Linked DNA regions of Macaca fascicularis. The protein of the gene in region 1 interacts with the protein of each later gene in a pairwise test. Links are inferred from orthologs where the notes say so. Each region holds a gene or a part of one and is shown on either strand. Other genes may lie near its edges. The genes, in order: DNAJB11 and UBR1.

Region 1 (4,603 bases):
GAACATGGTTAGGAGCATAATAGGTGAGAGGACAAAGCATAAATGGCTTTGTAAACTAGCATAGAGCTGGGATTTTATTCTAAGTGCAAATGAAGAGCCATTCCAGGCTTTTAAACAGGGGAGTGACATGATTTGACTTTTATTTTTTATGTATTTATTTTTTTTTGAAATGGAGTCTCACTCTGTCGCCCAGGATGGAGTGCAGTGGCAGGAACTCAGGTCATTGCAACCTCCACCTCCCAGGTTCAAGCAATTCTCCTGCCTCAGCCTCCCGAGTAGCTGGGATTACAGGCGCTCGCCACCACACCCTGCTAATTTTTGTAGTTTTAGTAGAGACGGGGTTTCACCATGTTGGCCAGGCTGGTCTCAAGCTCCTGACCTCAGGTGATCCGCCCATCTCGGCCTCCCAAAGTGCTGGGATTACAGGCGTGAGCCACCGCGCCCGGCCCTTAAAAAAAAAAAAAAAAAAGGAGTGAGGGACAGGGATGAGCAACATATATGAAGGTATTAAGGAAGATATTAAGAGTGGAGACAAGGAGGCCAGTTAGGAGGCCCTGGCCAGGTGAGAGATACACTGTGATCCAGAGACCTAGTAATGGAGATGTAGTGAACAGATTCAAGTATAGTTCAGAGGTAAAGATTTGGATAGCTTATATATGAAAGGAGTAAAAACACCTAGAGCTTTGTCCTGATCAACTAGGTGTTGTGTAACTGTGATGAGCAAAATCGGGGGGGAAGACGGGGAATCAAAGACTTATGCTCGAACAGTAATAATGGTTTTTATTCATTGCCTGCTTACTATACGCCAGACGATTTACAGATTTTTTTTCCCTGTTAAAATTCACAGAACTGCCAATAAGTGCTTTGCCTTAGTTTTGTTGATAAAGAAACTTAGGCTCAGACTTGGGAGGAGGGAAGGAGTAAGGAGTCTCACCACTGAGAAGCGGTGCAAGCCGAATCCGCACTTAAGTCGGTCAATCATCACTGTCGCCTTTCCGAGACTTATGGAGTTGCTTGGAGAACGTAAAATAAGAGTCCTAAGCAATGCGTCCGATGTACAGTTGGGGAATAACCGTCCCCGCTCATTCTGCCGCTGTTCCCTCATTCTGCTCCCGCATTCGGCGCGTAGCTGGGTATGAATGAAATTCCAAACTTGAAACACAGAGAAAACTTCTCTCCCACAATTGGTTGGTGCTGGGGAGGAGCCTCCTGATTGGTGGAAAGTTCGAGGAAGTGGGTGAGTCGGGGAGGATTTCGTGTACCTCAGGTGCCCTTACTCGGACCAGCCCCCTACCATTACGTAATTTTCTACGACTCGGGGTAGCTCGGGCAGAGCGGGTTCCTGCAGCGGCGCGACCCTCTGACGTCTCCTCTTCTAATTGGTCAAGATCTGCGACTGCAGTTCTGAAGCCTAACTGGCTACCCGTGCCGCCTCGGAGGTGAAGTGTACTGCGCTGATTGGCTTTCAGGCGCCGGCCGCGTGTGATGTCCCGGGCAACGATTGGCTCTCGCTTACCGGGGTCTTCTCTCACCGGGACTTGGGACTCCCGGGAAGTGGACTGGAAGAGGAGGGGGCTAGCTAGCTGTCTCTGCGGACCAAGGAGGGGACCCCCCCGCCCCCCAGTGTGAGGCGCCTCACAGGGCTGGGTGGGCTGGCGAGCCGACGCGGCGGCGGAGGAGGCTGTGAGGAGTGTGTGGGACAAGACCCGGGACAGAGGAACCATGGCTCCGCAGAACCTGAGCACCTTTTGCCTGTTGCTACTGTACCTCATCGGGGCCGTGATTGCCGGGTGAGGAATAGACACTCGCAGACAGCGGGGCCCGGGGGTCAGCCTTTGCTAGGGGGTGGGAGGGGGTGGGGGAAGTGGTATTGCCAGACTGAGGGAGTGGAGAGGGGCATCGCTGTGGGTTGGCGGGGTGGCGGAGGAAGGGGTAGTATGGGCCAGACTAGTGGGGTGAGAAGCGAACCGTAGGTGACACCAGTGAGAAGGCGTTAGGTCCAGAGAAGGTCTTTGGTAGAGCTAGATTTGCCCGGAGGAGTGGGAGTTGGATGCATTGCCAACGGCATTTGGGGGATGAGGGAAAGAAGGTGGTTGTGAGCTGGAGCACTGTCACGTAGAGCTGGGGGAAGAAAGAGGGATGCCTGACTGTAAGGAAAGGTAGTGACAGTGCTAGGCTGAGGTTGGGGGGATGGACGTTTGTTTGATCAAAGAGGTGGGTTGCTGTGCCCCGCTGAGCTGGAGAAGCGGACGATGCTCTATGCCAAGCCTGCGAAGAGCCATTGGGGGGCTGACATTAAAGTGGGTGGATGATGCCAGGCCGAGTTGGGACTGAAGGAAATTGGATGGGGAGGGGAACAAGAAGACCCTTTGGAGAGCCCTTGTGCTTCCCAGCTTCTTGAGCTATTTATTGTCTTAAGTTGCTTCGTCTTTAACATTCTGGCAATGCTACTGTTAGGACATTTATGTGGCATAATCTTTTTAAATAAGGAAAATCATCCCTTGAGAGTGTTATTTGACTTTTAGAAAAGTCAAAATCATTTGGAGCAAATGTAGAGAAAGGGGGGAAGAGTTAATTTGATTATATGGTTATTGCCTAAAGATAACATGAGACCATAAAATAAGGAAGTGGTTTTCTTGACTGAAGGTGGTTCTGAAAGAAGATGCCACAGATGTTTTGAATAATCTAAAAAGAAGTATGTAGCTTCTTACTGTGATTACTTCAATATATAAGATTCATTACAAATTCTGGTGTTCTCTTTTTAGTCATTCTTTGTGTGTATATGTGTCACATAAACGTTCACTTTCGTACCTCTTTGCTCAGACACAAACCTAAATGTAGAGGAAAAATAAATCTTTTACTTTTAAAAATGTAACATGTAACTCTGATGAAGTATTCTCTCCCTCTACTTCCCAGACGAGACTTCTATAAGATCTTGGGGGTGCCTCGAAGTGCCTCTATAAAGGATATTAAAAAGGCCTATAGGAAACTAGCCCTGCAGCTTCATCCCGACCGGAACCCTGATGATCCACAAGCCCAGGAGAAATTCCAGGATCTGGGTGCTGCTTATGAGGTGAGTCAGGAAAAGTGATAAAGAACAAATAAAATCTGTAGCTCTAGAAAAAATATACAATACAGAGAAATACTCTTTTCAGCTCACATATATTTATTTAGAGACTGAGTCTCACTTTATTGCCTAGGCTGGAGTGCAGTGGTGCAATCTCTGCTCACTGCAACCTCCGCCTCCCCGGTTCAAGCACTTCTCCCACCTCAGCCTCCCGAGTAGCTGGGATTACAAGTGCATGTCACCACGCCTGGTTAATTTTTGTATTTTTAGTAGAGACAGGGTTTCACCATGTTGGCCAGGCTGGTCTCGAACTCCTGACCTCAAGTGACCCGCCCGCCTCGGCCTCTCAAAGTGTTGGGATTACAGGTGTGAGCTACCACGCCCAGCCCAGGTCACTTTTATTTAAAAGTAGATGGTAGATGAAAGTAAAAGTAGTACTTGATACTGTATTGTACTAGATATTACATTCATGTTAGTAGATACCATTTTCTGCCTTTTGATATTAATATTTATTTTAAGAAGGAGAATAATGCTGCAAAAGAATAAATGAAAGATTGGTAGATTAATAAGTAGATCAACTGATTGGTCTGTCAGTCAGTCAGTTTGGGAGCTAGACCAAAAATAAAAAGAAAGCCTTCATGAGAGTTGCAAACCTACATGTTCATATGAACTAGACAAATAACATGCAGGGCAGGTATAAATTAAAACATGACAGCAGATATTCTGCCTCCATGTTGGGAAGCAATAAGGATTGTTGAGGGCTTTGACAAATTGAAGCCTTCTGGCCCCATTTCAAGGGAGCAGCTGTTACCTCAACCCTAGCCAGTTTTTGTCATAGTAATGCAAACAGTATGTTCCTAGATGATTTAATTTTTCCAGAAAAGTTGAAAATCTAGACTTTTATATAAGTTCTGCTTGTAAAAATGTTGGTAACTAATTCAGTTAAATTTCTTTTTTACGTAGATCAAACAAAGCACAGTTTTAATTTGATTTTCCAACCTCTAATCTGGGGACCAAAACACTCTCCATTTGTATCATCTCATTTAACCTTCACTAGGACACCAGGAAATACATTAGAGCTAGGCATATTTTTATTCTCATTTTCTAAATGGACACAGAAAAAAATTAGTTGAACTAAAAGTCATAGAGCTAAAACTCCCGAATTTAAGTTTAAATTCTTATATATTGAGAAGGCTAAAAACAAATTGAAAAGTATTTTAGGAAGACATAAACCTTGAAAGGAAGGAATCCCAAGATCTCTTAGATTAAAGAAACAATGGAGGCCGGGCGCGGTGGCTCAAGCCTGTAATCCCAGCACTTTGGGAGGCCGAGACGGGCGGATCATGAGGTCAGGAGATCGAGACCATCCTGGCTAACCCCGTGAAACCCCGTCTCTACTAAAAAATACAAAAAACTAGCCAGGCGAGGTGGCAGGCGCCTGCAGTCCCAGCTACTCGGGAGGCTGAGGCAGGAGAATGGCGTAAACCCGGGAGGCGGAGCTTGCAGTGAGCTGAGATCTGGCCACTGCACTCCAGC
Region 2 (3,817 bases), on another chromosome or scaffold:
TTGTTCTAATTTGATTCAACATTAAGTAGAATTCTTACAAAGCAAAACAAGTTTTACTTAGAAAGATTGAAAAGGAATATAATCAATACATACCAGAGTAGGAACAGTAAACATCTGAACTGAAAGTGCAGTTATAGAGATACTTCTGTCATGATCATCACTGATATATTCTTTTTGTAGTTGTTTATAATACTGAAATATATAAGTAGAGAATCAATTATAAATCACTACTAAAGACCTTTAAAAAATCACAATTTTAATAACTGCTGCAAGTTTCTATCCATAAAATGTCAAGTAAGATAATTCCTATTTATTGAGGCAAGATATTATGATCAACAAAAATATCTTAGAAGGAGAATAACAAACAACAAATCAAGTAAAAATTCACCTACTCAATTTAGCAGAGATAGAAGTGGAAACTATTAAAACATACATACAGGTTAAAAAAAAAAAACAAAAAAACAGAGGACTGCAATGGTATAGTTTATCCTTTCTCCAAACAGAATCTGGGGCAACCTTTAGCAACTTCTACTCTAATGGTATTGGGCAGGGAATATATTCAAAGTATTTAACAACTGATATGACCCAGAAAAACCAACCAATCAGATTGAATCCAGCCTTAAACAGAATGGATGCTGGCTGCAAATAACTTCTTTCCCATACTGGTACATAACAGCTGCAAAACAACTCTGATAAACTGGGAGAACAAAAATGGTAATACATTCAGTCACATAACAGGCATCTATTATGTGCAAGGCACAAAGTTGGATACTTAACCTATTTTAAGTTGGATATTTTACCCTCCAAAATTCCTACAAAGTTTAAGGGGTAACCATGGTGTACAAAAAAAATCATCTAAGTAGGGAGATTAGCTTTTGTATAAGAAAACAAAATTTCATTTGAGATCACACATATGGTCCAATATTCTATATCTAAAGAGTTTTAGAAGAGAACATCTTAAGTTGCCATCACTGATGAAGGATAAGACATACAACAAATGTCTTAGTTACTTGTAAGTCTGCATATAAAATCCAGGGAATGCAGGTATCTTATCCCACAGTGTCATTTGCTTACAACAATCATTATTTCTTTCTCTGCTTCCAATTCCATCTTGGGTCCTATATCTATCTTAAGTCTTACAGAATTGACTGCAACTCAAAATCAGAGGAAATCAACAAGTATTACTGGATACCTTTATATAAGGCAAAATAAAAGATTCAAAGGAGTCCTTGATATGTATAACCTTGCAATCTAATTTGGTTGATAGACAAAAAGACACAGTAAGGTAAGAGATATATGATAGATTAATAAAACATTAAAAAGCTGTAAATTTTAGCCTCACATTTTAGCTTCCAACAATTAAGTAGAACCCTTGGCCACCTAATTTCTGCACCCCACTTTAGCATACACATCTGTTCTTCTTTCCTGCTATCCTTTATCAGTTAGTTACTTCTATTCTTATTGTAATTTTACAAACAGGCAAATAAATGACTAGGAAGACTGAATGCATATGTGAATGTGATAATCTCCCTTTGCTCTGGGTCAGTAGGTCATTTTCCACCTATCTCTTCTCTAAGAGCGCTGTTTCTATACAAGCAAATGACACTTGTGAAAATATTTATGTAATGTATGAGAACGAACTTTTTTTTTTTTGAGATAGGAGTCTCACTCTGTTGCCCAGACTAGGGTGTGGTGGCGCAATCTTGCCTCACGGCAACCTCCATCTCCAGGGTTCAAGCGATTTTCCTGCCTCAGCCTCCTGAGTAGCTGGGGCTACAGGCACCCGCCACCATGCCCAGCTAATTTCTGTATTTTTAGTAGAGATGGGGTTTCACCATGTTGGCCAGGCTGGTCTCGAGCTCCTGACTTTAAATGATCCACCCACCTCCGCCTCCCAAAGTGCTGGGATTACAGGGGTGAGTCAACCCTCAGGGCCAAGAATGAACTTTTGATAAAGAAATGAATCATAACATTTAATTTTGGATTCATAATTATCTGTTTCTATTAATTCATTTATAAAAACTGCCTATTTGTATTTATTGATATCTAATTTATAAATAATTACCTTCACAAATTCCATAGCAAAGAGTTTTTTGTATTCCATCTCCATAAAAAAACTGCTGAAGATCAATTCATGAAGGATCTTACGGGCACCTATAGATTATTTTGGGGAGGGTGGGGGAATGAGGGGAATCACCAAGGCAAAAACCAAAAACATTCCATCTATTAGAGTGGCAGAATATTATAAAATTATTTCACATGCAAACAGACCTCAAATATAAACAGTATTTATTGTATTAATATTTAATAACTAGAATTTAAAATACACACATATATTGCCTTTTCCCTTTTTTTCTGTACCCCTCCCACCACTTCATCTTACACTTCAATTGATTCTCTCTCAACCTTTTCATTCTTTTTCTATTTCACTCAAAAGTACTCTTACTCTGAACTTTTCCTTCTCCATGCTTTTAGCCTTTCTCTTGACTTTTACACTTTGTTCTTCATTTAGATTTTTACAATGAAAAGAGCTTTTTTTTTGCCACTCAACAATGGCATTACTACCTGAATTTATAGATACATGTATGTGTGTGTATGTGTGTGTGTGTGTATATATATATATATATATATATATATATGTATATACTCTTTTTGACTGGCTCTCACTAAATGAAAAGACTCTATAATTAAAAGATAACATCCCTGCGTTTTAACACCAAAGAATACATACTGACTGGTTAAACCTGATATTCACATGTAATACCTTATCAATCAAGATCACAGATTTAATAACTAATTTAATAAACAAAAGATATTACAGCTCCACTTTAAGATCATAATCTTCCTTTGCTTCCTGACAAAAAGCATAAGCAAATGTCTACTTACCTTTATAAAGCTTTGCATCCCAAAGCATTAACCTGCTTATGAGACAGGGATTCTCCGAGTCAGGTTCTTCTCTAAGGCATGCTTGGCAAAAGATCTGCCTAAAGTCACCTACAAACAAAAGAGGTCACACAATTACACAACTTGTATTCTTTTTCTTTTTACATAGAGATGAATCTCACTCTGTTGCCCAGGTTGGTCTTGAACTCCTGGGCTCAGGTGATCCTCCCGCCTCAGCCTCTCACAGTGCTGGGATTACTGACACAAGCCACTGCACTCAGCCATAATTTTTATTCTTATAATATTTATCCTAAAAATACATTTCCTATAACATGTGAAAAGACTAACATTAATCCTCCCACATTTGATGTAAAGAATAATTCTGTCAACATCAAAGACTCAACAGTCAACAAAAAGGTATTATTTGATACTATGCACTTGAAATAATATCTTAAGATATTATGCATTTGAAATGCAACCCTGAAAATTAATCAAAGTGTATAAACCAAAAAAAAAAAAAGAAAAACTGTATTTCATACTCGATGACATTTTAAAATTTGTGACTATAAAAAACACAGTATTTTATCAGAAACAAGAAAAACAGGAGGTATGCTTACTTGAATAGCTCATAATTTTGTTCATCCAGGAACCAAGACGCAAAGCAAATTTCTGATGAGCCATAATCTCTGAGTGTAATACTTCTACATGAAGTGGATGTTGAGAGACATTTTCTGAATGACTCTACAAATGAAGGGAACAAACCAAAAAAATAGCATTTAAAATTTGCTTTTAGTTAAGGCATTTATACTTTAAAAAAAGAAATCACATAACCCTGCCAGTTCCAAATCTCTGCATGTAGGTGCCCCAAACCACTTCAACAACATCATCACTCAAATTATTCTACTTGGGCTCTTGTAATGTACATTTGTCTTTA

What was found.
Region 2: the proteins of DNAJB11 (region 1) and UBR1 interact in a two-hybrid assay, tested with the Homo sapiens proteins (2 studies listed by BioGRID and IntAct). The link is inferred for Macaca fascicularis from reciprocal best matches to the Homo sapiens genes DNAJB11 and UBR1.

Annotation. Positions count from the first base shown.
Region 1 is NC_088376.1:98,516,943-98,521,545, forward strand, and holds the start of DNAJB11 (dnaJ homolog subfamily B member 11), read left to right. Parts: upstream 1-1,514; 5' UTR 1,515-1,722; coding exon 1,723-1,790; intron 1,791-2,916; coding exon 2,917-3,073; intron 3,074-4,603. UniProt on the Homo sapiens protein: As a co-chaperone for HSPA5 it is required for proper folding, trafficking or degradation of proteins.
Region 2 is NC_088381.1:19,657,857-19,661,673, forward strand, and holds part of UBR1 (E3 ubiquitin-protein ligase UBR1), read right to left. Parts: intron 3,625-3,817; coding exon 3,501-3,624; intron 2,995-3,500; coding exon 2,887-2,994; intron 2,155-2,886; coding exon 2,066-2,154; intron 193-2,065; coding exon 94-192; intron 1-93. UniProt on the Homo sapiens protein: E3 ubiquitin-protein ligase which is a component of the N-end rule pathway. Recognizes and binds proteins bearing specific N-terminal residues that are destabilizing according to the N-end rule, leading to their ubiquitination and subsequent degradation.